2 linked regions of the Macaca mulatta genome follow. The protein of the gene in region 1 purifies or fractionates together with the protein of each later gene. This does not show direct contact. Links are inferred from orthologs where the notes say so. Each region holds a gene or a part of one and is shown in the gene's direction. Other genes may lie near its edges.

What was found.
Region 2: the proteins of NCBP2 (region 1) and PHAX purify together in Homo sapiens (affinity purification with mass spectrometry; 5 studies listed by BioGRID and IntAct, with this or other methods). This does not show direct contact. The link is inferred for Macaca mulatta from reciprocal best matches to the Homo sapiens genes NCBP2 and PHAX.

The regions. Positions count from the first base shown.
Region 1 is NC_133407.1:2,486,474-2,496,901, reverse strand, and holds the start of NCBP2 (nuclear cap-binding protein subunit 2), read left to right. Parts: upstream 1-4,557; 5' UTR 4,558-4,605; coding exon 4,606-4,683; exon of another isoform or gene 4,684-5,709; intron 5,710-6,889; exon of another isoform or gene 6,890-7,039; intron 7,040-7,632; coding exon 7,633-7,814; exon of another isoform or gene 7,815-7,853; intron 7,854-10,045; coding exon 10,046-10,184; intron 10,185-10,428. Other genes in the region: PIGZ (GPI alpha-1,2-mannosyltransferase 4), read left to right, coding at 1-912; protein NCBP2AS2, read right to left, coding at 4,090-4,389. UniProt on the Homo sapiens protein: Component of the cap-binding complex (CBC), which binds co-transcriptionally to the 5' cap of pre-mRNAs and is involved in various processes such as pre-mRNA splicing, translation regulation, nonsense-mediated mRNA decay, RNA-mediated gene silencing (RNAi) by microRNAs (miRNAs) and mRNA export.
Region 2 is NC_133411.1:135,550,171-135,560,761, forward strand, and holds the start of PHAX (phosphorylated adapter RNA export protein), read left to right. Parts: upstream 1-5,300; 5' UTR 5,301-5,325; coding exon 5,326-5,421; intron 5,422-7,788; coding exon 7,789-8,402; intron 8,403-10,591. UniProt on the Homo sapiens protein: A phosphoprotein adapter involved in the XPO1-mediated U snRNA export from the nucleus.

The DNA.
Region 1 (10,428 bases):
AGCTGGTATTTCTCCAGCTCCGCTACATCCAGGACCCTTGTCCTTACACCTGTCAACTTCTTGCACTACAACCTGAATCCCCAAAACCTGGCGAGGCATGGCACGCATGTGCGGCTCACTCACCTGGCAGTCAATGGCTTCCTGCTCTTTGGGGTACTGCATGCCCAGGCCCTGCAGGCCGCGTGGCAACAGCTGCAAGCTGGCCTCCAGGCCTCTTTACAAATGGGCCTCCTGAGGGCACTGGGTGCCTGGAGCCTGCTGTCCAGCCCCAGGTCCTATCTCCTTCTCCTTTACTTCATGCCCCTAGCCCTGCTGTCTGCCTTTAGCCACCAGGAGGCTCGGTTCCTGATTCCCCTCCTGGTCCCCCTAGTCCTGCTTTGTAGTCCGCAGACCCAACCTGTGCCTTGGAAGGGCACCGTGGTCCTCTTCAATGCCCTCGGTGCCTTCTTCTTCGGCTGCCTGCATCAGGGGGGCCTGGTGCCTGGCCTGGAGTACCTGGAGCAGGTGGTCCATGCCCCTGTGCTCCCAAGCGCACCCACCCACTACACACTCCTCTTCACTCACACCTACATGCCCCCCCGGCACCTCCTCCACCTCCCAGGCCTGGGGGCACCAGTGGAGGTGGTGGACATGGGTGGGACTGAGGACTGGGTCCTGTGCCAAGCCCTGAAAAGCTTTACCAGACAACCAGCCTGCCAAGTGGCTGGTGGGCCATGGCTCTGCCGCGTCTTTGTGGTGACCCCTGGCACCACCAGGGGTGCCGTGGAGAAGTGCAGCTTCCCCTTCAAGAATGAAACACTTGTATTTCCCCATCTAACCCTGGAGGATCCACCAGCCCTGTCCTCCTTGCTGAGTGGGGCTTGGAGGGACCACCTCAGTCTTCACATCGTGGAGCTGGGGGAAGAAACCTGACAATATGACAGGGCACCCACCGCCCACGATTCAGCCATAGAAGTTGCTGCCCCACCTTCTACTTGGGTAGCTGGGCTGGGACGCGGGGACAGGGCCCAGGTTCTCCTTCACGACTCCCACTGCTGCCTCTCCTGGGCACGGCTGTTCTGCCTTCTGGGTGAGCTGGCACCCCTCTCCCTGAGACCAAAGATCTGACCTGTCAGTCCTGATGTCAAGGTCCCCAAAGAACCAGGTGTAAGTGATGACACCTGTCGGTTCCTGCCCTACTGCTTCCAGCCACTGTGATGTTTGAAACATGTAATAGTACCTGGTTGGGAAAAAGAATGAACTGCCAGTGACATTCCCCAGCGACCTCTCCCAAACTTCCCATGATGCCTTGCCCTTGCTGTCATGACAACCTCTGGCTTCCTGAGACCGATCTGCCTATCCAAATAATGTGGAAGTCAGTGTGATGAAGTATAGAGAACAGGTGGCCCAGATCCAGGGGACCCAACTTCTAGCCCCTTGGTCTGTCACCCCCTCGCTGTGTGATCTTGAGAAAGCCCCTTCCACTCTCCCACCCCACTTCCCAGTCTGTTGGGATCAGAGGATCTTTGAGGTGTCTGCCAGCTAACATCGTGTCATTCCTGGAATCCACAGTACACGTCCCCCGTCCTCGACAGGCACAGCTCTCACAAAGCTCTTTAAGCATGGAAGTGGGAGTTGTGTCGTACTTCATGGCCCTCTGATGCCTGCTGTCTCAGTGTTTGCAAACAAGTAATGTTTGAAATATATAATTGCACCTGGAGATTTTCTCCCTACTTTCTTTTACTCCTGTTCCTGAGAGGTGGTGGGAAACTCTCCAGCCATTTCTGCACCTTGTCCTTAAGAGTCATTCTCCTGACTGGGCGTGGTGGCTCACACCTGTAATCCCAGTACTTTGAGAGGCCAAGGCGGGCAGATCTCGAGGTCAGGAGTTGAGACCAGCCTGGCCAACATGGTGAAACCCTGTCTCTACTAAAAATACAAAAATTAGCTGGGTGTGGTGGCGGCGCCTGTGGTCCCAGCTGCTCAGGAGGCTGAGGCAGGAGAATGGCTTGAACCCAGGAGGCGGAGGTTGCAGTGAGCCGAGATCGCGCCACTCACTCCCGCCTGGGAGACACAGCGAGACGGTCTTGGGGGGAAAAAAAAAAAGTCATTCTCCCAGATTAGGGAGCCAGATGTTCTCCCTCCTTAGAAGAACTGTGGGTCTCAAGCCCTCCCATCCTGCCCCAGAGAGCAGGGAACACACCATGCTCAGCTAGTGTCTGGTTACCAGCCTCAATTTTTCCGATGGCTTCAAGCTTCTAGATTGCATGATTATCTGTGTTGCCTAATTAGAAATGATCAGATCTGGGTGTGGTGGCTCACACCAGTAATCCCAGCACTTTGGGAGGCAGAAGCAGGAGAACTGCTTGAGACCAGGAGTTCAGGACCAGCCTGGGAAACAAAATGCAATGCCATTTCAACCATAAAACACAAAACAAAACAAAATTGTGGCTGGGCACGGTGGCTCATGCCTGTAATCCCAGCACTTTGGGAGGCTGAGGCAGGCAGATCACAAGGTCAGGAGATCAAGACCATCCTGACCAACATGGTGAAACTCCATTTCTACTAAAATACAAAAAACTAGCCAGGCATGGTGGCGCACATCTGTAATCCCAGCTGCTCGGGAGGATGAGGCAGGGGAATCACTTGAACCCGGGAGGTGGACGTTGCAGTGAGCCGAGATCACGCCACTGCACTCCAGCCTGGTGACAAAGTAAGACTCTGTCTCAAAAACAAAAACAAAAAAACCTGTTTTTAATTAGCTGCGCATAGTGTCATGGGCCTGTAATCCCAGCTACTTGGGAGACCCAGGGAGGAAGCTCGATCACTTGGCCCAATAGGTCGAGGTTGCAGTGACAGCTAGTATCATGCCACTGCACTCCAGCCTGGGCAAGAGTGAGGCCCTGTCTCAAAATAATAAATAAATAAATCAGAAATTTAGCTAGGAGCTTCAAATGACAAGACATTTGTATATACAGTGGATTTCCTAATCATGGGTCCACTAACTTGCTGGACCATAGTCTTAGTTTCGTATGCCTGACCCTCTAAAATGAGGGATGAGTCCAGGTAGCTCATTCCATGGCAGGCAGCAGTCTTTTTTTATTTTTGAGACAGGTTCTCGCTATGCTGCCCAGGCTGGTCTCATCTCAGGCTCATGCGATCCTCCTTCCTCTGCAGTGGCTTGGATTAGACACAACTGCCACCACGCCTGCTCCTAGGCAGTAGTCTTAATGCCTGATGATGGGGGGTTGGGGAAGGAAGGAAAGTATCAGGGTAAATCTTGCAGAGCTGTGTTAAGGACTTAGGCCCTGGAATCAAATGCCTCTGCTCACATCCCACTCTGCAAGACTTTGGGCAACTTAAGCAGCAGCCTCTGTTTCCATCGGAGTGGCTCTTGCCTCTAATCCCAGCATTTTGGGAGGCTGAGGCAGGACGATCACTCGGACCCAAGAGTTCGAGACTACCCCATCTCTACAAAAAAATCCAAAAAGTAATCTGCTTGCTCATGCGGATGTGGTTGTAAGGAGTAAGCGAAATAACACGCAGAGTGCAATGAGCAAGTCCCAGCACAAAATACTCATTTCATAAAATACGTGTTTATTATTGCCATAGGCCTACAGTCCCCGGTATTCTCAATATATCTTGCCTGAGAAGTATCACACTCATGCCTATTAACCAGCTCATACATTTTTTTAATCAAAAGAATTTGGCAGTTGTAGGGTTGTCTTTTCATTCACATCGTCCCTGGAATTAAGTGTCCTGCTACACCAGTGCAGATTCAGCAGCATCTGTCAAGAGTGTCAGTTCCATCTGCAGAGGAAAGGCTCTCTGGCTTCGGTCCGTGGCTCTCCGCGGGTGCGGTGTCTGGACCCAGCCTATCTTCATCTCTGTTAGGCTTCGGGGTCTTTCTCCACACGGTGTCTTGTCCAATCAAAGGACTTCAGCGGAGCCTGCGGTCTGGCCTAGGCTCTTCTGCGTGGGATGTCTGCAGGCCAACAATCCGAGTCGGGGTTCGAAGCCGCGCGCAGTGCCCGGAACGACCCCTCCACGTCGAGGCCAGTGTAGAGCCCGGAAGGCAAAGTAAAGGCCTCGGCCCCGCACAGCCCAGGCTTAAATGTTTGCGCCAGGGCCCCTCTGGCTACCTGGTGGTGGCCCCGAACGGCCACGGAGGCCGCGGCGTAGCTCCTGGGTGAAGGTGTCTCTGAATCGCCCAGCGCGGCGGCACAGGGAGCCTGCGGGGCCAGCCGCGAGGTCCTGCAGGCGGCGGGCCGCGTCCTGGCCCCGCAGCTGGGCCTGCAGCAGAGCGAAGGCCGTGAGCTGCGCCGCACGTCGGATAGGCCGAGACTCGGACAGGCGTTCCACCAGCTGCGGGCTGTGCAGCAGGGCCGCCAGCAGCCGCCGAAGCACCATCTTCCCCAAGCGCCCGGGAATCCGACCTCGCCGCCCTAGTCTTCCGCCCGGCGGCGCCCGACCCGGACGTCATCTGCGCCCGCGCAGCTTGATGACGACACTGCCGCCCTCGGATTGGGTCCAATGAGATGCGCGCTTCCGCGCGTTTCCGCTTCCGCCACGGCAGACGCCACCTCGTGCCGGGAATCGCCGCGTCCTCGTCCGCTTCTCTGCGCTATGTCGGGTGGCCTCCTGAAGGCGCTGCGCAGCGACTCCTACGTGGAGCTGAGCCAGTACCGGGACCAGCACTTCCGGGTGAGGGAGGCCGGGCCGCGAGAGGGGAAGGCCCTGGGCCAGAACGCTGAGAAACGGTTTGCTCTTGTCTCATTGTGTCGCCTCCCGTTCTGCTGCAATCCCCAAACGCCAAGTGGGGCCCCGGTGCCGGCTGGGGAGGCAGGGAGCGGGTGCTGGGGGGGCGCTTGGACATCACTGAAGCCGCTGGCTCTGGAAGACAGGGCATTTGAGGCTCGCTTTCCTGTTCCCTCCAGCCGCTCCCTGCACCCGAGCCGGTGCCGAGAGGCCTGAGCGCTGATGGTAGTGGCGGCTCCCGTTTCCAGGTTGTACCTCGCAGATGGCTGCGTAACAAGGGCGGGGTGCCCTTCTCTCTCCCAGAGTGTGCAGAGGCGCCTTCTTGATGCAGATTCGGGGCTTTTTACGTTCTTTTTTATTTTTTTTATTTATTTTATTTATTTTTTTTTTTTTTGAGACGGAGTCTCGCTCTGTAGCCCAGGCTGGAGTGCAGTGGCCGGGTCTCAGCTCACTGCAAGCTCCGCCTCCCGGGTTTATGCCATTCTCCTGCCTCAGCCTCCCGAGTAGCTGGGACTACAGGCGCCCACCACCTCGCCCGGCTAGTTTTTCTGTATTTCTTAGTAGAGACGGGGTTTCACTGTGTTAGCCAGGATGGTCTCCATCTCCTGACCTCGTGATCCGCCCATCTCGGCCTCCCAAAGTGCTGGGATTACAGGTGTGAGCCACCGCGCCCGGCCTACGTTCTTTTTTAAATCGGCGAAGCAGTGCCCTTCTCTGGGAGGATGGTCTTAGGGAAGCTGTACGCGGTGCGTGGGAGACACAAGTGAAGTCCTCACTCCGCCCTCGGGGAGGCTTCGGAGTGGGGAGGGGGACCCGCCAAGCTGGGCACTTTGAGGGTGTTTGGATGTGAAGATCGGAGAATTGCTGGATTTCAGAAGAGAGAAATTTTTAGTCCGGACTATATCACAGTATGTTTTGTGGAAAAAGGGGAGGCCGCAGATATACAAAGTAGGCTTTTCAGTATCAGCAAAGGTAGGGATGGAATACGGTTGAGGGGTGGCGGCGCGGGACTCATTAACCCGGTTATTTAGTAAACATTTGTTGAGTGCTGTCACCAAAGCCTTGTGCTAAACCCTGGGGGGAAGGGAAGACAGTTTCTGTACTCTGCGAGCTCATAATCCCCTGTAGTGTGGATTATCAAAGAATCTAAGGTGGAAGTGAGTTAAAAGAGAGGCTGTGAGAATTCAGAAAAAGGGGAGAAATCCCCTTGTGACTGGGAAATGAGGGGGCGCATATAGCAGAGGTCAGTGTGGAGAACGTGTGAAATATGTTACTAGAGTAGGGAAAAGGAAACTTTGACGCCAAATTAGGGAAGCTCTGAAATTTATTCAGTCGAGGCCGGGCACGGTGACTCATGCCTGTAATCCCAGCACTTTGGGAGGCTGAGGCGGGTGGATCACGAGGTTAGGAGATCGAGACCAGACTGGCCGAGATGGTGAAACCCCATCCCTACTAAAAATACAAAAATTAGCCGGGCGTGGTGGCGGCGCCTGTAATCCCAGCTACTCGGAAGGCTGAGGCAGGAGAATTGCTTGATCCCGGAAGGTGGAGGTTGCGGTGAGCCAAGATCGCGCCACCGCACTCCAGCCTGGGCAACAGAGCGAGATTCCTACTTAAAAAAAAAAAAAAAAAAAAAATTCGGTCAATTTATTTTATTTTTTGAGACAGAATCTCGCTCTATTGCCTAGGCTGAAGTGCAGTGGCGCAATCACGGCTCATGCAGCCTCAACCTCCTGAGCCCAAGTGATCCTCCCCACCTCAGCCTCCTGAGAAGCTGGGACCACAGGCTCTCACACTACATCCGGCTAATTTTTTGTAGAGACAGGGTCTCCCTGAGTTGCTCAGGCCGGTCTCAAACTCTGGGACTCAAGCGATCCACCAGCCTGGGCTTCCCAAAGTGCTGGGATTACAGACGTGAACCACTGACCCCGGCCAGTCCAGGTTTTAGATGCTTAAGTGCCAGGCATGATTTGCACTTTTTTTGAGACGGGGTCTGGCTCTGTCACCCAGGCTGGAGTGCAGTAGCACGATCTCGGCTCACTGCAAGCTCCGCCTCCCGGGTTCACGCCATTCTCCTGGCGAGCTGGGACTACAGGCCCCGCCACCACGCCCGGCTAATATTTTTGTTTTTGTTTTTGTTTTTGTTTTTTAGTAGAGACGGGGTTTCACCGTGTTAGCCAGGATGGTCTCGATCTCCTGACCTCGTGATCCGCTCGCCTCGGCCTCCCAAAGTGCTGGGATTACAGGCGTGAGCCGCTGTGCGCGACCCTGATGAGCCATTTTGGATCCAGGGATTTGTCAGGTGTGTTGGATGAAGCCCAGTTATATTCTTATTTCTGGCTTCATCGTGTCATCCCAGTTTGGAAGCCCATTAGGAAAGTGAGCTCTGTTTTGTTTTTAGTGATCACTACATTTTTTTCCTCAATTCAGAAAAAATACATGAGCATGTAAAGCATCAGAGTTGTTGCTTTAAACAGTCTCTATGGGGTTATTAAAAGGGGACTCTCTGGAAATCCACTTATTTCTCACTACAGAGTATAAAAGGGCCCTTTGTCATACATGGGTCAAGGTCCAGAGTTTAACCTTGGTTGAAAGGATGCACTGCTGAGAAGATGGCGTGTGCAGGGAAAAAAGCCGCTTGTGTGGCAGTCTGGCGTAGGGTGACTTTGCTGTATGCGGTATAACTTTTGAGCCTTGTCTCTACTAAGAGTCTGGACTTTGCATAAGTGCTTCACAGGATGTGAACATCTCCCTTTTTTTGAGCAAGGGATTTGTGGTAGGCTGGGATGAGAGAATTTGATTTCCAAATCAGAATTAATGAATGTTTCTACCATACTTAGAAATACTATTTAAGCAAGGCTCTGAAGTTGCTTTTGTCTCTCTTTGAAATTCTAGGGTGACAATGAAGAACAAGAAAAATTACTGAAGAAAAGCTGTACGTTATATGTTGGAAATCTTTCTTTTTACACAACCGAAGAACAAATCTACGAACTCTTCAGCAAAAGTGGTGACATAAAGAAAATCATTATGGGTCTGGATAAAATGAAGAAAACAGCATGTGGATTCTGTTTTGTGGAGTATCCTTCCTGTGGATGGAATGTGGCTGCTGAACTGGGGTAGAGCTGAGAATAGTAGCTCATAATCCTCCCTGCACTTGCCCCTACGTTTTCCCTCGTCTCCCTCCTACCTTCTGTCCAGTGTCACTGCTCTTTTTTTTTTTTGAGACAGAGTCTGGCTCTGTCGCCCAGGCTGGAGCGCAGTGGCCGGATCTGAGCTCACTGCAAGCTCCGCCTCCCGAGCTTACACCATTCTCCTGCCTCAGCCTCCGGAGTAGCTAGGACTGCAGGCGCCCGCCACGTCGCCCGGCTAGTTTTTGTATTTTTTTTTTTTTTTAGTAGAGACGGGGTTTCAACGTGTTAGCCAGGATGGTCTCGATCTCCTGACCTCATGATCCGCCCATCTCGGCCTCCCAAAGTGCTGGGATTACAGGCTTGAGCCACCGCGCCCGGCCGTCACTGCTCTTATACTATAAAGCTGACACTAGTTACATTCTCTCCTGAAATCCATGCTTTATGGTTGTTTAAGAAAAAGTTTTTCAGGCCGGGCGCGGTGGCTCAAGCCTGTAATCCCAGCACTTTGGGAGGCCGAGACGGGCGGATCACGAGGTCAGGAGATCGAGACCATCCTGGCTAACACGGCGAAACCCCGTCTCTACTAAAAAATACAAAAAAAACTAGCCGGGTGAGGTGGCGGGCGCCTGTAGTCCCAGCTACTCGGGAGGCTGAGGCAGGAGAATGGCGTGAACCCGGGAGGCGGAGCTTGCAGTGAGCTGAGATCTGGCCACTGCACTCCAGCCTGGGCGACAGAGCGAGACTCCGTCTCCAAAAAAAAAAGAAAAAGTTTTTCAAGAATGTTTGCCCTTCATTAAAAAAAAAAAAAAAATTCCAAAGAGCACAGTGAAAATAAAAAAACCTTGTACTGTTCTAAACCCCTAATTCCCTTTGCCAGAGGCAGTTACCAGTTTCTTGAGCATCTCTCAAGAAGTAACCTGTGGGTGTGCAGTAGTGTACTTCATGTGCTGTTTTTAAAATCATTTATTATTTATTTATTGTTCCATTTCAGCACATGTAGGTCTGTTTTCAAAATAGCCGTATAGCTGGGCATGGTGGCTCGTATTTGTAGTGCCAGCTACTCAGGAGGCTGAGGCTGGAGGATCAGTTGAGCCCAAGGGTCCAAGGCTACACTGAGTTGTACTGTGCTCCTGCCAGGGTGACAGGGCAAGACCCCATCTTTAAAGAAAAAAATGTTTTAATAGCTATATCGTAATTCATTACATAGGTGTGTATAAGCTGATTGTATAGGTACAAACCAAAACTATTTACTTGTGATCATTTTCTTACTCAGACTCTTTTAAGCATTGTACCTCCTGGATTTATTCTGTGTTCTTTTTACTCTCTGTTTTGGTCATTCAATTTAGTATTCTGAGAAATTTTGCAGACCCAATCTAATGTATCTTTTGAGTTTTTTCCTGTGTCCTGAATTACATTTGTTTCAGATGAAATTTTTCCTTAAGTGTCTGGTGATCCCTGGATTTCTGCTCATAATTAAGGACAAGAATGCTGACTCACTGGACCCAGGCAGGGCATCTCTCCCAGATTGCTGGCTTGCCTTGGGGATATGTGGGTTTCCCAAATGCTAGAATGAAAAGAGATTTTATTTTGGCCTGCTAACATCAAAGACACTAGTTCCTCCAGATGGTTTATTCACAACACCATTGTCTTATTTTTATTTGTCTGGGATTAAATGTCCTCCCCTTTAATTAAAGGGAGCTCTCTCTGATGAAGTAGGTTTGGGGACTGCTACCCTGGTGATACCTTGAGTCTTTCCTTTAGTGAAACGCAGCGCAATTCCACATGCACTGTGACCCTCTCTTTATTAAGGTGCCCTGGAATATATGGCACCTAACTTGAATATATAGCACTTGTTTCTTGGATAAGAAGTGTACAGTGGTCCAAACCTGCACTGAATTATCTTATATTTTGCAAACCAAATACGGAGATGATGGGACCAAAAATTATCAACAGGAATGTCCAACAAATCTGATCAGTGCAGCCACGGAGACGTGTCATGTTTGACTCTCTGTGCTTCCAAACCATGGCAGACAGGCCTGTGCAAGCTGAACTGCTGTCTCTGAACTACATCTGATTAGATTAGCTCTTGTACTTTTTAACAATGCAGCTTCATTTACATGTTGTTCCCCTATTTCCAGAAATGTTTGGAAAAATGGTAGTGTTCCTTAATACTTAAGATATTACTCACGTGCAGATGCCGAAAATGCCATGCGGTACATAAATGGAACACGTCTGGATGACCGAATCATTCGCACAGACTGGGACGCAGGCTTTAAGGAGGGCAGGCAGTACGGCCGTGGGCGATCTGGGGGCCAGGTATGCGAGAAGGGTCTCTGGGCTCAGCCCGTTGCCTGGGATTCCAGTCACAATGACAGGTGTTTTGGCAATTTGTATTTACTCTTTTGTAAATAACTTTGTGTCTATAACCTTGGCTTGAAGTGGATCTGAAAACCACCCAACGGTTTGGGTGAATTTTTTAAACCCTGAAATATAAGTCCTGTACGTTTCTAATAAGCAACCATTCTTGAACTTCTGCTAGGGGCTAGATTCCACCGGCAGG
Region 2 (10,591 bases), on another chromosome or scaffold:
CCAGCTAGGAATTCTTTTCAGCAAAATATTGGCTCTGAAGTATAGCAGGCTATAGCAGGGGTTCTGAAACTGTAAAATGCCTGAAGTTACCTGGTGGTCGTGGTAAATGCTCATTCTGATTCAGTAAGTCTGGGCTAGGGTCGGAGAGCCGACATTCCTAACCAGCTCCTTAGCGATGGCGATGCCTCTGGTCCCTGGAGTAGCCAAGGGAGGGTTTGTATTGAGGGGCGGGGGAAGGGTTGTTTGTTTTCACTGTTTTGGTAAATTACAAATGAAAGATTTGTAATTAATGATAAATATTAGATTGTTGCATTTCCTCTATAAATACCCTGCCTAGGTATATTCTTACTTTATTTTTTATTTATTTATTTATTTATTTATTTATTTATTTTGTTTTTTTGGAGACGGAGTTTCGATCTTGTTGCCCGAACTAGAGTGCAATGGCGCGATCTCGGCTCACTGCAACCTCCGCCTCCCGGGTTCAAGCGGATTCTCCTGCCTCAGCCTCCCAGTAGCTGCGATTACAGGTGTGTGCCACCACACCCAGCTAATTTTTTTGTATTTTTAGTAGAAACGGGGTTTCACCATGTTAGCCAGACTGGTCTGGAACTCCTGACCTCTGATCTGCCCACCTCAGTCTCTCAAAGTCCTGGGATTACAGGTGTGAGCCACTGCATCCGTCCTATTCTTGCTTTTTTTTTTTTTTTTTTTTTTTTTTTAGAGGGAGTCTTGCACTGTCCCTGGGGCTGGAGTCCAATGGCTCAATCTCAGCTCACTGCCACCTCCACCTTCTGGGTTCAGGCGATTCTCCTGCCTCAGCCTCCTGCGTAGCTGGGATTTCAGGCGCCCACTACCACACTTGGCCAATTTTTTGTATTTTGAATATTGAGGGGGTTTCACTATGTTGGCTAGACTGGTCTCGAACTCCTGACCTCGTGATCCACCCACCTCAGCCTCCCAAAGTGCTGGGATTACAGGTATGAGCCACAGCACCCGGCTCTTACTTTTAAAGAATAAAGACAGTTTTGATCAATTTCCTTCATTCTCCATTTCTTCTGTCTTCCTACACTATCCTTTCACTCGTGCATGCCCCATCTCATTTCACAATAACTGGGCCAACCCTATAAGAAGGAAATACTAATATCTCAATTGGCATTATTTGAACATGAGTTTAAAATATGCTTGCCCATGCTAGAGTGCCGTGGCAAGATCATGGCTTACTGAAGCCTCAACCTCCAGGGCTCTAGTGATCCTCCTACCTCAACCTCCTGAGTCGCTGGGACTACAGGCATGCTACCACACCCAGCTAATTTTTGTGGGTTTTTTGTAAAGACGAGGTTCCCCCATGTTGCCCAGGCTGGTCTGCACCTCTTGGCTCAAGGGATCTGCCCACCTCGGCCTCCCAAACTGCTGGGATTACAGGCTTGAACCACTGGCCTCCCAAACTGCTGGGATTACAGGCTTGAGCCACCGCTCCTGGCCCCTTTCATCTCTGCATTCAAGCATGAGCTTTATCTCTTCCACCCTTATAATAAAAATGATTTGAACAAACACTCTGCATGTATCAAGCAGCTACCAGAAACTGCAGTTAGTACTAGGCATACATGCAAGATGCTTCCTTTTGTAAATGCTACGGTTTTTTCCTATTAGGGCAAGGACCATCTCTGACTCATCCTTGCATTGCTCCACAGTTCCTAGCATTGTTCCAAGTTTATGCTCACTTATATGAGTGTATGAACAAATGAACCAATGAATAACACCTTCGAAGGAGTAACAATGCCCTATCTGACATCGGTAATCTCTATCAACAACCCTGCTGCTGTCTTCCATCTACACGGAGGACCACAGTGCTAATTTTTCTAATTTTAATTCTCAGACTTCTTTTGTGTGTGTTTTTTTTGTTTTGTTTTGTTTTTTGAGGCAGAGTCTCACTCTGTCGCCAGGTTGGAGTACAGTGGCGCAATCTCAGCTCACCACAACCTCCACCTCCCAGGTTCAAGTGATTCGCCTGCCTCAGCCTCCTGAGTAGCTGGGACTACAGGTACGCACCATCACACCCAGCTAATTTTTGTATTTTTAGTAGAGACAGGGTTTCACCACGTTGGCCAGGATGGTCTCGATTTCCTGACCTTGTGATCCACCCACCTCAGCCTCCCAAAGTGCTGGGATTACAGGCATTAGCCACCGCACCCAGCTAATTCTCAGACATTTTAACTGACTCTCATCACTTTCTATCAGCCAACAAAGATTCTTTGTCTGCATATTCCAAAACCACATTATTTATTCTTTTCTCTTCCATTCACTTCCACGAAATTAAAACACATAGACAGATGCACTGAGGATTAGGAGCAATACATAGTGTCCTCAAGGAGTGTTGGCTTCCCTCTCTTCAAGTCAAGAAGAGAAGTGTGGCCATCCTTCTAAACCAATTCTGGCTGGCTGGGCACAGTGGCTCATACCTGTGATCCCAGAACTTTGGGAGGCCAAGGTGGAAGGATCACTTAGTGATCAGGAGTTCGAGACCAGCCTGGCCAACACGGTGAAACCCCATCTCTACTAAAAATACAAAAATTAGCCAGATGTGGTGGTGCACATCTGAAGGTCCAGCTACTTGGGAGGCTGAGCCTGGAGAATCGCTTAAACCCAGGATGTGGAGGTTGCAGAGCACCAAGATCGTGCCATTCCATTCCAGCCTGGGGGACAGAGCAAGACCCTGTCTCAAAAAATAACTAAATAAGCCGATTCTGGGAAAATAGGCACCAGCAACTGCTCACACTGAAAATAGGGATTGCATCCTTTTTCTACCTTGTTTTTTCAAAACTCCTGTTAGCCCTGCTTAACAGGAGTTCAGGAAAAATCAGAAATGATGAATTGTAATGAGGCTGAGCAGGAAGAGACAGAATTAAATGAATCATATATGAAAGCACTTTGAAAACTGCAAAGCCCTATAGAAATTAAAATGTAGTGGCTAAACTCAGGACACCTTAAAACAGTTCTGTATTAAAAGTGGCAGAGGAACCAGGTACTGTGGCTCACGCCTGTAGTCCCAGCACTTTGAGAGACCAAGGAGGGCAAATCAAGAGTCAGGGCGATCAGGAGTTCGAGACCAGCCTGACCAACATGGTCAAGTGCCATCTCTACTAAAAATACAAAAATTAGCCGAGCCTGGTGGTGTATGCCTGTATTCCCAGCTATTTGGGAGACTGAGGGATGAGAATGACTTGAACCCGGGAGGCAGAGGCTGCAGTGAGCCGAGATTTTGCCACTGCACTCCAGCCTGGGAGACAGAGCAAACTTGTCTCAAAAAGAAGAAAGAAAGAATTTAATAGACAGGAGGCCACCCACGCCGTGTGGGAGACAGAGTTATTACTCAAATCAATCTCTTGGAGAATTCAGGGACTAGTGTTTTCCAAAGATAGTTTGGGGAAGGGATGGAATGGCTAAGCAATGGGTTCTTGCTGCTTACTGGCTGGGGATGCAGTCATTGGGGTGTGGGAAATTGTCCTCAAGCAGGTCAATAGCTTCTGTGTGGGACCACAGAAGCGGTTAGAGCTTCAGGTGGAACCATTGGTAGTCATACATGCAAAATACCTGAAAAGATATCTCAAAATGCCAATCTTAGGGTCTACAATAGTGATGTTATCTGGAAGAGTAATTGGAAAAGTTGCGTACCTTGTGACCTCTGGGATAATGACTGGCAACGGTTTATGTCTACACCTTAGCAGAATTCAGCCTCCTTTATCCTTCTACCCTTGTGATTTCTTATTAGCTTTACAAAGGCGGTTGGCTTTTGGGGAAGGGTTATTATCATTTAAACTATAAACTAAATATCTCCCAAAGTTACACTGACTGGCCCAAGCCCAGGAATAATTAAGGGCAGCTTGAAGGCTAAAAGCAAAATAGGGGTTAGCTAGATCAGATCTCTCCCGCTGCCGTAATTTTCTCCCTGTTACAATTTTTGCAAAGGCGATTCCAAGATAATCTTTAAAGAATGGGGTGGGTTGAGGGAAGGGCCTTCCAGGCCGAGTGAACAGCAAATGCAGAGGGCTTGCCTGAGGAACAACAGGTTCAGCGCGCCAGCGGCTGGGCAGGGGGACACACCAGGACCAGTGACCTGGTGCCCAGTCCACATAACCTTGTTTGCCATTGTAAAAAGTAAAATAGAGGTTCCTCTTCAAAGACTTTCCTCCCCATCTAATTAGGAATAAATAGTAACCTCTCTTAAAAGCAAAATTTATTCAAAGACCTGTGCTAACATTCTTAAATATCTGCTAGCTATAATAAAATAAATGTAGTTTATGTTCTTAGCTCCCACAATTTAGCCTAAATTTTTTGCCCTGGCATGCTTATACTAGTCCAAGCAAGCATTAGGTCATAGCCTGTTCCTCTTCCTTATTTAAAAGTGTTTTTGTCTTTCTCCACATTCCACAAGGTACTTCTTCCTTCCTTTGTTCTCCTCTACCTTTGCCTCTTTTAAAAAGTTCCAAGTTGCTAGCCAATCCCGAGGAATACAAAATGTGAGGTCCTGTTCCAGCCAATAAAAACCAGCCACAGCAGTAAGGTAAACGCCTCAGCTTACAAATGACCCTGTCTCCTTTGTTCAGTGTACTCTCCTGGCAAAACTGCTGGTGGGCGTACCCTTTCTGCAGAAAGTAAAAATGGCCTTACTCAATAAATTAAATTTATGTTCAAGTGCTATTTCTTTATGACACCGAAAAACAAACATTTCAAACACCATGCTGAGAACTCAGTCCTTGTTTTGGGGAGGGGTGCACTTGGAAGATTCCAGCTAAGGTACAATCGTCCCTCGGTATCTGCCTGTCATTGTTTTCAGGACCCCCACAGATACCAACATAGGCCATGCTCGAGCCCCTTATATTATGTGGTGGTGCACAGTGTGTCCTTCCCATCCGCAGGTTTGGCATCTGTGGATAGGGAGTGGATACGGAGGGCGGACTATACCGCTTGAAAGGCTTCCCTGGAAGCAATATGTAGAGTGGGTAGCGGAGGAGCAAGAATGGAAGCAAGGAGGCTTGTCCAGAGCATACAGGCGAAGGATGTACGGCCAAGGGGGGAATCCCAGACGACCGCGATTCGTGACATATTTTTGTTTGCACGAAAATAAAGTTTGAAAGAAAAGTGTTGGGGGAACAAGGGATTCATTTTCCCACGGTAGTTGAAATGCAATGGCTACGCCTCAAGCCGCTGCAACATGCTGGCCTCCGTGCGGGGGCGCCCAAACAGGCGCGCCGCCGGGCCTTCCGGCCGCACCGCCGGAAGTGCTCTCCTGACCCTCCGCTGCGCAGCTCATCGCACCGCAGGAAGATGGCGTTGGAGGTTGGCGACATGGAAGATGGGCAGCTTTCCGACTCGGATTCCGACATGACGGTCGCACCCAGCGACAGGACGCTGCAATTGCCGGTGAGTGTGAAAGGAGGGTGGGTTATCGTGGCTGGGCGCGCCGAGCCTGGGCCGCGGAAAGCGCGCAGGCAGCGGTGAGGGTGAGGGGTGAGAGCTAGGAGCCCGGTCCGGACCGGGCTGCTCGGTCAGTGGCGGCAGAAATGGCGAGCAGGCGTCCCCCGGGCGGGCTCACGGAGCCCGGGCTGCAGGGGCCGGCAGCGAGGGGCGGAGGCGGCGGCAGCGGCTGGGCGTGCGAGCCCCAACCTGGCGGCTCCCTGCGAGGTCGGGCGCGCGAGCCCTGGCGCCTCCTGGAGGCTGGCTTGGCGGCTGTCTCTTGGCGGTCTCACCTCCACCTACCGCTCTTTGTTTTTTTCTAAACTTAGGGCTTCCCCACTCCAGCGCCGCTAGGTGACCATTAAGGGGCAGATTTTGCCAGATGTGTAGCATCTGGGGACATCGGCCTGAAACAGCCTGTGGTGCTCCTTTTCTCCCTGAGACAGAGACTGAGGCCCAGGAATGAAGTTTATCAGAGTTCACTTAAAGAGCTGGTTTTCCTTGTTTCCACCGAACCTAGCTTTGTCATGCGGTACCATGGCACTAGGTTTTTGTGGTAGCTTCTCTGGTTTTGTTTGTTGTTTTAAGACAGAGCCTCACTCTGTCACCCAGGCTGGAGTGTAGTGGCGCAGTCTTGGCTCACTGCAACCTCCGCCTCCCGGGTGCAAGCGATTCTCCTGCCTCAGCCTCCCGAGTAGCTGGGATTACAGGGGCCTGCGGCCACGCCCGGCTAATTTTTATATTTTTGGTAGACAAGGAGTTTCACCATGTTGGCCAGGCTGGTCTCGAACTCCTGCCTCAAGTGATCCACCCGCCTTGGGCTCCTGAAGTGCTGGAATTACAGGCGTGAGCCACCGCGCCCAGCCTAGTTTTTGTATTTTTATTAGAGACGGGGATTCTCCATGTTGGCCATGGCTGGTCTTGAACTCCTGACCTCAAGTGATCCACCTGCCTCGGCCTCCCAAAGTGCTGTGATTAGAGGCGCGAGCCACCGCGCCGGGCCCAGCTTCCCTGCTTTCTAAACGGTAATTTGTCTTGACTGCCTTAGTAGGTAGCAACCTCTTTGAGGGGGCTTTGGTGCCAGATTGCCTGTGTTCAGATCCTGGGGCCACCGATGTGTGACCTACAGCAGGTTTATTTAGCCTAACTGCTTTTTGTCTCCATCTATGGAATTGGCATGATGTTCCACTGATAGGGTTATTGCAAGGATTCTATGGAGCATACAGTGCGCGGTAATGCCTGAAAAGTGTTATCTCTGATCATTATTTGAAGATAGTGGGAGATAGATCCTCCCTACTTGCGTTTCCAGCGTAGTAGGAGTTTTAACAAATACAAATACTTGCTTTTGCATATAAATGTTTAGGAAATTAGTACCAAGATATTTTGTTTTTCAATCTCAGGTTGTTTTTACATAAATTGACCCATGACTTGGTAAATAAACTTAATGCTGTGGACTGTGGGGTTTTAAAAATATGCCCAGGCCGGGTGCGGTGGCTCACGCCCGTAATCCCAGCACTTTGGGAGGCCGAGGCAGGTGGATCACGAGGTCAGGAGATTGAGACCATCCTGGCTAACACAGTGAAACCCCGTCTCTACTAAAAATACAAAAAAATTAGCCGGGCGTGGTGGCAGGCACCTGTAGTCCCAGCTACTTGGGAGGCTGAGGCAGGAGAATGGCCTGAACCCGGGAGACAAAGCTTGCAGTGAGCCAAGATCGCACCACTGCACTCCAGCCTGGGTGACAGTGCGAGACTCCCTCTAAAAAAAAAAAAAAAAAAAAAACATGCCCAGCCTAGGCAATATGGCAGAACCCCATCTCTACAAAAAATGCAAAAAAAAAAAAAAATTAGCTGGTTATGGTGAGGGTTGCCTGTAGTCGCAGTCCCTCAGGAGGCTGAGGTAGGAGGATTGCTTGAACCTGGGAGGTTGAGGCTGCGGTGAGCCATGATTGCTCCACTGCACTCCAGCCTGGGCCACAGAACAAAACTTTGTCTCAAAAAAAAAAAGTAACAATTATTATGTATGTCATTTTAAAACATTCTGACAATAACTGAAAAGTTTGAAATCTTTTAAAGGTGACAAGAACTTTGGTAATATAGTAAAAGGATATCTTAGAACAAAGTGCTGCATTAGTTGTAAAGATAAGAATTTGTGGCTTTTAAATTGGCGAATTCCATGTGGAACTTAGAAAAGTAAGGATTTGATTGGTCTCAGACTTGTCTTTGAAGATCAGTTCCTTTTGGAATGGCGCGGTTGAATCTCTAAATTTTTAAAAATTAGGTAGGTGGAGTTTATGTGTTTTGTGAAATGGATTGTGTTTCTTTTCACTTGCAGAAAGTGCTAGGTGGCGACAGTGCTACGAGGGCCTTCCAGAACACAGCAACGACATGTGCGCCAGTATCACATTATCGAGCTGTTGAAAGCGTGGATTCAAGTGAAGAGAGTTTTTCTGATTCAGATGATGATAGCTGTCTTTGGAAACGCAAACGACAGAAATGTTTTAACCCTCCTCCCAAACCAGAGCCTTTTCAGTTTGGCCAGAGCAGTCAGAAACCACCTGTTGCTGGAGGAAAGAAGATTAACAACATATGGGGTGCTGTGCTGCAGGAACAGAATCAAGATGCAGTGGCCACTGAACTTGGTATCTTGGGAATGGAGGGCACTATTGACAGAAGCAGGCAATCCGAGACCTACAATTATTTGCTTGCTAAGAAACTTAGGAGGGAATCTCAAGAGCATACAAAAGATCTAGACAAGGAACTAGATGAATATATGCACGGTGGCAAAAAAATGGGATCAAAGGAAGAGGAAAATGGGCAAGGTCATCTCAAAAGGAAACGACCTGTCAAAGACAGGCTGGGGAACAGACCAGAAATGAACTATAAAGGTCGATATGAGATCACAGAGGAAGATTCTCAAGAGAAAGTGGCTGATGAAATTTCATTCAGGTGAACATTTGAATTACAAATAAGTACTTGACCAGATGGCTTCTATTTACAGGAAATAAATGCCAAATACTTTAATGATATGTTCCCCTCTTTTTTTTTTTTTTTGAGATTTTTTTTTCTTTTTCTTTTTCCTTTTTTCTTTTTTCTTTTTGTTTTTTTTGAGACAGCGTCTTGCTCTGTCACCCATGCTGGAGTGCAGTTAGTTGCTCACTGCAACCTCCGCCTCCTGGCTCAAGGGATTCTCCCACCTCAGCCTCCTGAATAGCTGGGACCACAGACACGCACCCCCACACCCAACTATTCTTTGTATTTTTAGTAGAGACAGGGTCTTACCATGTTGTCCAAGCTACTCTCGAACTCCAGAGCTCAAGGGATCCACCCGCCTTCGCCTCTCAAAGTGCTGGGATTACAGGCGTGAGCCAAGAGCTGGCCTAATTTATTTTTTTTTGGAGGGGAGAGGATCTCACTCTGTTGCCCAGGCTGGAGTGCAGTGCTACAATCACACCTCACTGGAGCCTAGAATTCTTGGGCTGAAGGGATTCTTCCACCTCAGCTTCCTAAGTAGCTGGGACTACAGACTCAGGCCATGATGCCTGGCTAATTTAAAAAAAAAAAAAAAAAAGATGGCCAGGCACGGTGCCTCACGCTTGTAATCCCAGCACTTTGGGAGGCCAAGGTGGGTGGATCATGAGGTCAGGAGTTTGAGACCAGCCTGGCCAAAACAGTGAAACCCCGTCTCTACTAAAAATACAAAAATTAGCTGGGCATGGTGGTGGACACCTATAATCCCAGCTACTTGGGAGGCTGAGGCAGGAGAATTGCTTGAACCTGAGAGGCAGAGGTTGCAGTGAGTCGAGATTGTGTTACTGCACTCCAGGGTAGGCAACAGAGCTAGACTCCATCTCAAAAAAAAAAAAAAAAAATTAGGAGTTTCACTATGTTGCCCAGGCTGGTGTCAAACTCTTGGGTGCAAGCAGTCCTCCCACATTGGTCTCCCAAAGTGCTGGGATTATATGCATGAGCCACTGCGCTGTCCGCAGATTTTTTTGTTTTTGTTTTTTAAGAGACGATCTTGCTCTGGTCACTCAACTGGAGTGCAGTAGCACAATCATAGCTCACTGAAGCTGAACTCCTGGGCTCAAGCAATCCTGCCTCAGCTTTCCAGATTGCTGGGATTATAGGTATGAGCCACTGTGCCTGACTTTTTTTGAGGCTTTTTCTTTAAGGAACTGGGGTAATTTGGTTATATGAATACATTTGTATTGTATTTTTCAGTTTGTTTTTTTGGTTTGTTTTTTTAGACAGTCTTGTTCTGTCACCCAGGCTGGAGTGCAGTGGTGTTATCTTGGCTCACTGCAACCTCCCCTCCCGAGTTCAAGCAATTCTCGTGTCTCAGCCACCTGGGTAACCTGGATTATAGGCATTCACCACCACATTCAAATACTTTTTTTTGTTTTGTTTTGTTTTTGTTTTTTGTGTTTTTAGTAGAGATGGGGTTTCAGTATGTTGGCCGGGCTGGTCTTGAACTCCTGGCTTCAAGTGATTTGCCTGCCTTGGCCTCCCAGAGTGCTGGGATTACAGGCATGAGCTGCACACCAGCTGTATTTTCTTAAATTTGAACAAGCCTGATAGAATAATTTTGCAGACTTTTATGAACTGTTAAACAACTCGTTGCATTTAGTGCCATAGAGCTTTTTAAATAAAGCATATCTTTTTAAATCATGAGTTGTTTTTGTTTGTTTAGTGTTTTCAAGAAATTATCCCTTTTTTCTTAACTTTGAGGTATAATTTACAGATAATAATATTCACCCATTTCTAGTGTTAATTTTTTTAGGAAACATATCAAGTTGTATAACCATCACCTTTGAAACATTTCCGTCACCCAGTAAGATCCCTTATGTCCCCATGCCAATTTACAGTTAATCCCTGTTCTCATCCCAGATAACTGCTAATCTACTTTCTATCTGTATAAATTTGCCTTTTCTGGTATTTCATATAAATGGTGTCATGTAGTATGTAATCTCGTGCTTTGCTTCTGTCACCTGATGTTATGTTTTTGTTTTTTTGTTGTGTGTGTGTGTGTGTGTGTGTGGTTTGTTTATTTGAGACAGAGTGTCACACTGTTGCCCAGGCTGGAGTGCAGTGTCATGATCTCAGCTCACTGCAACCTCCGCCTCCCGGGTTCAAGC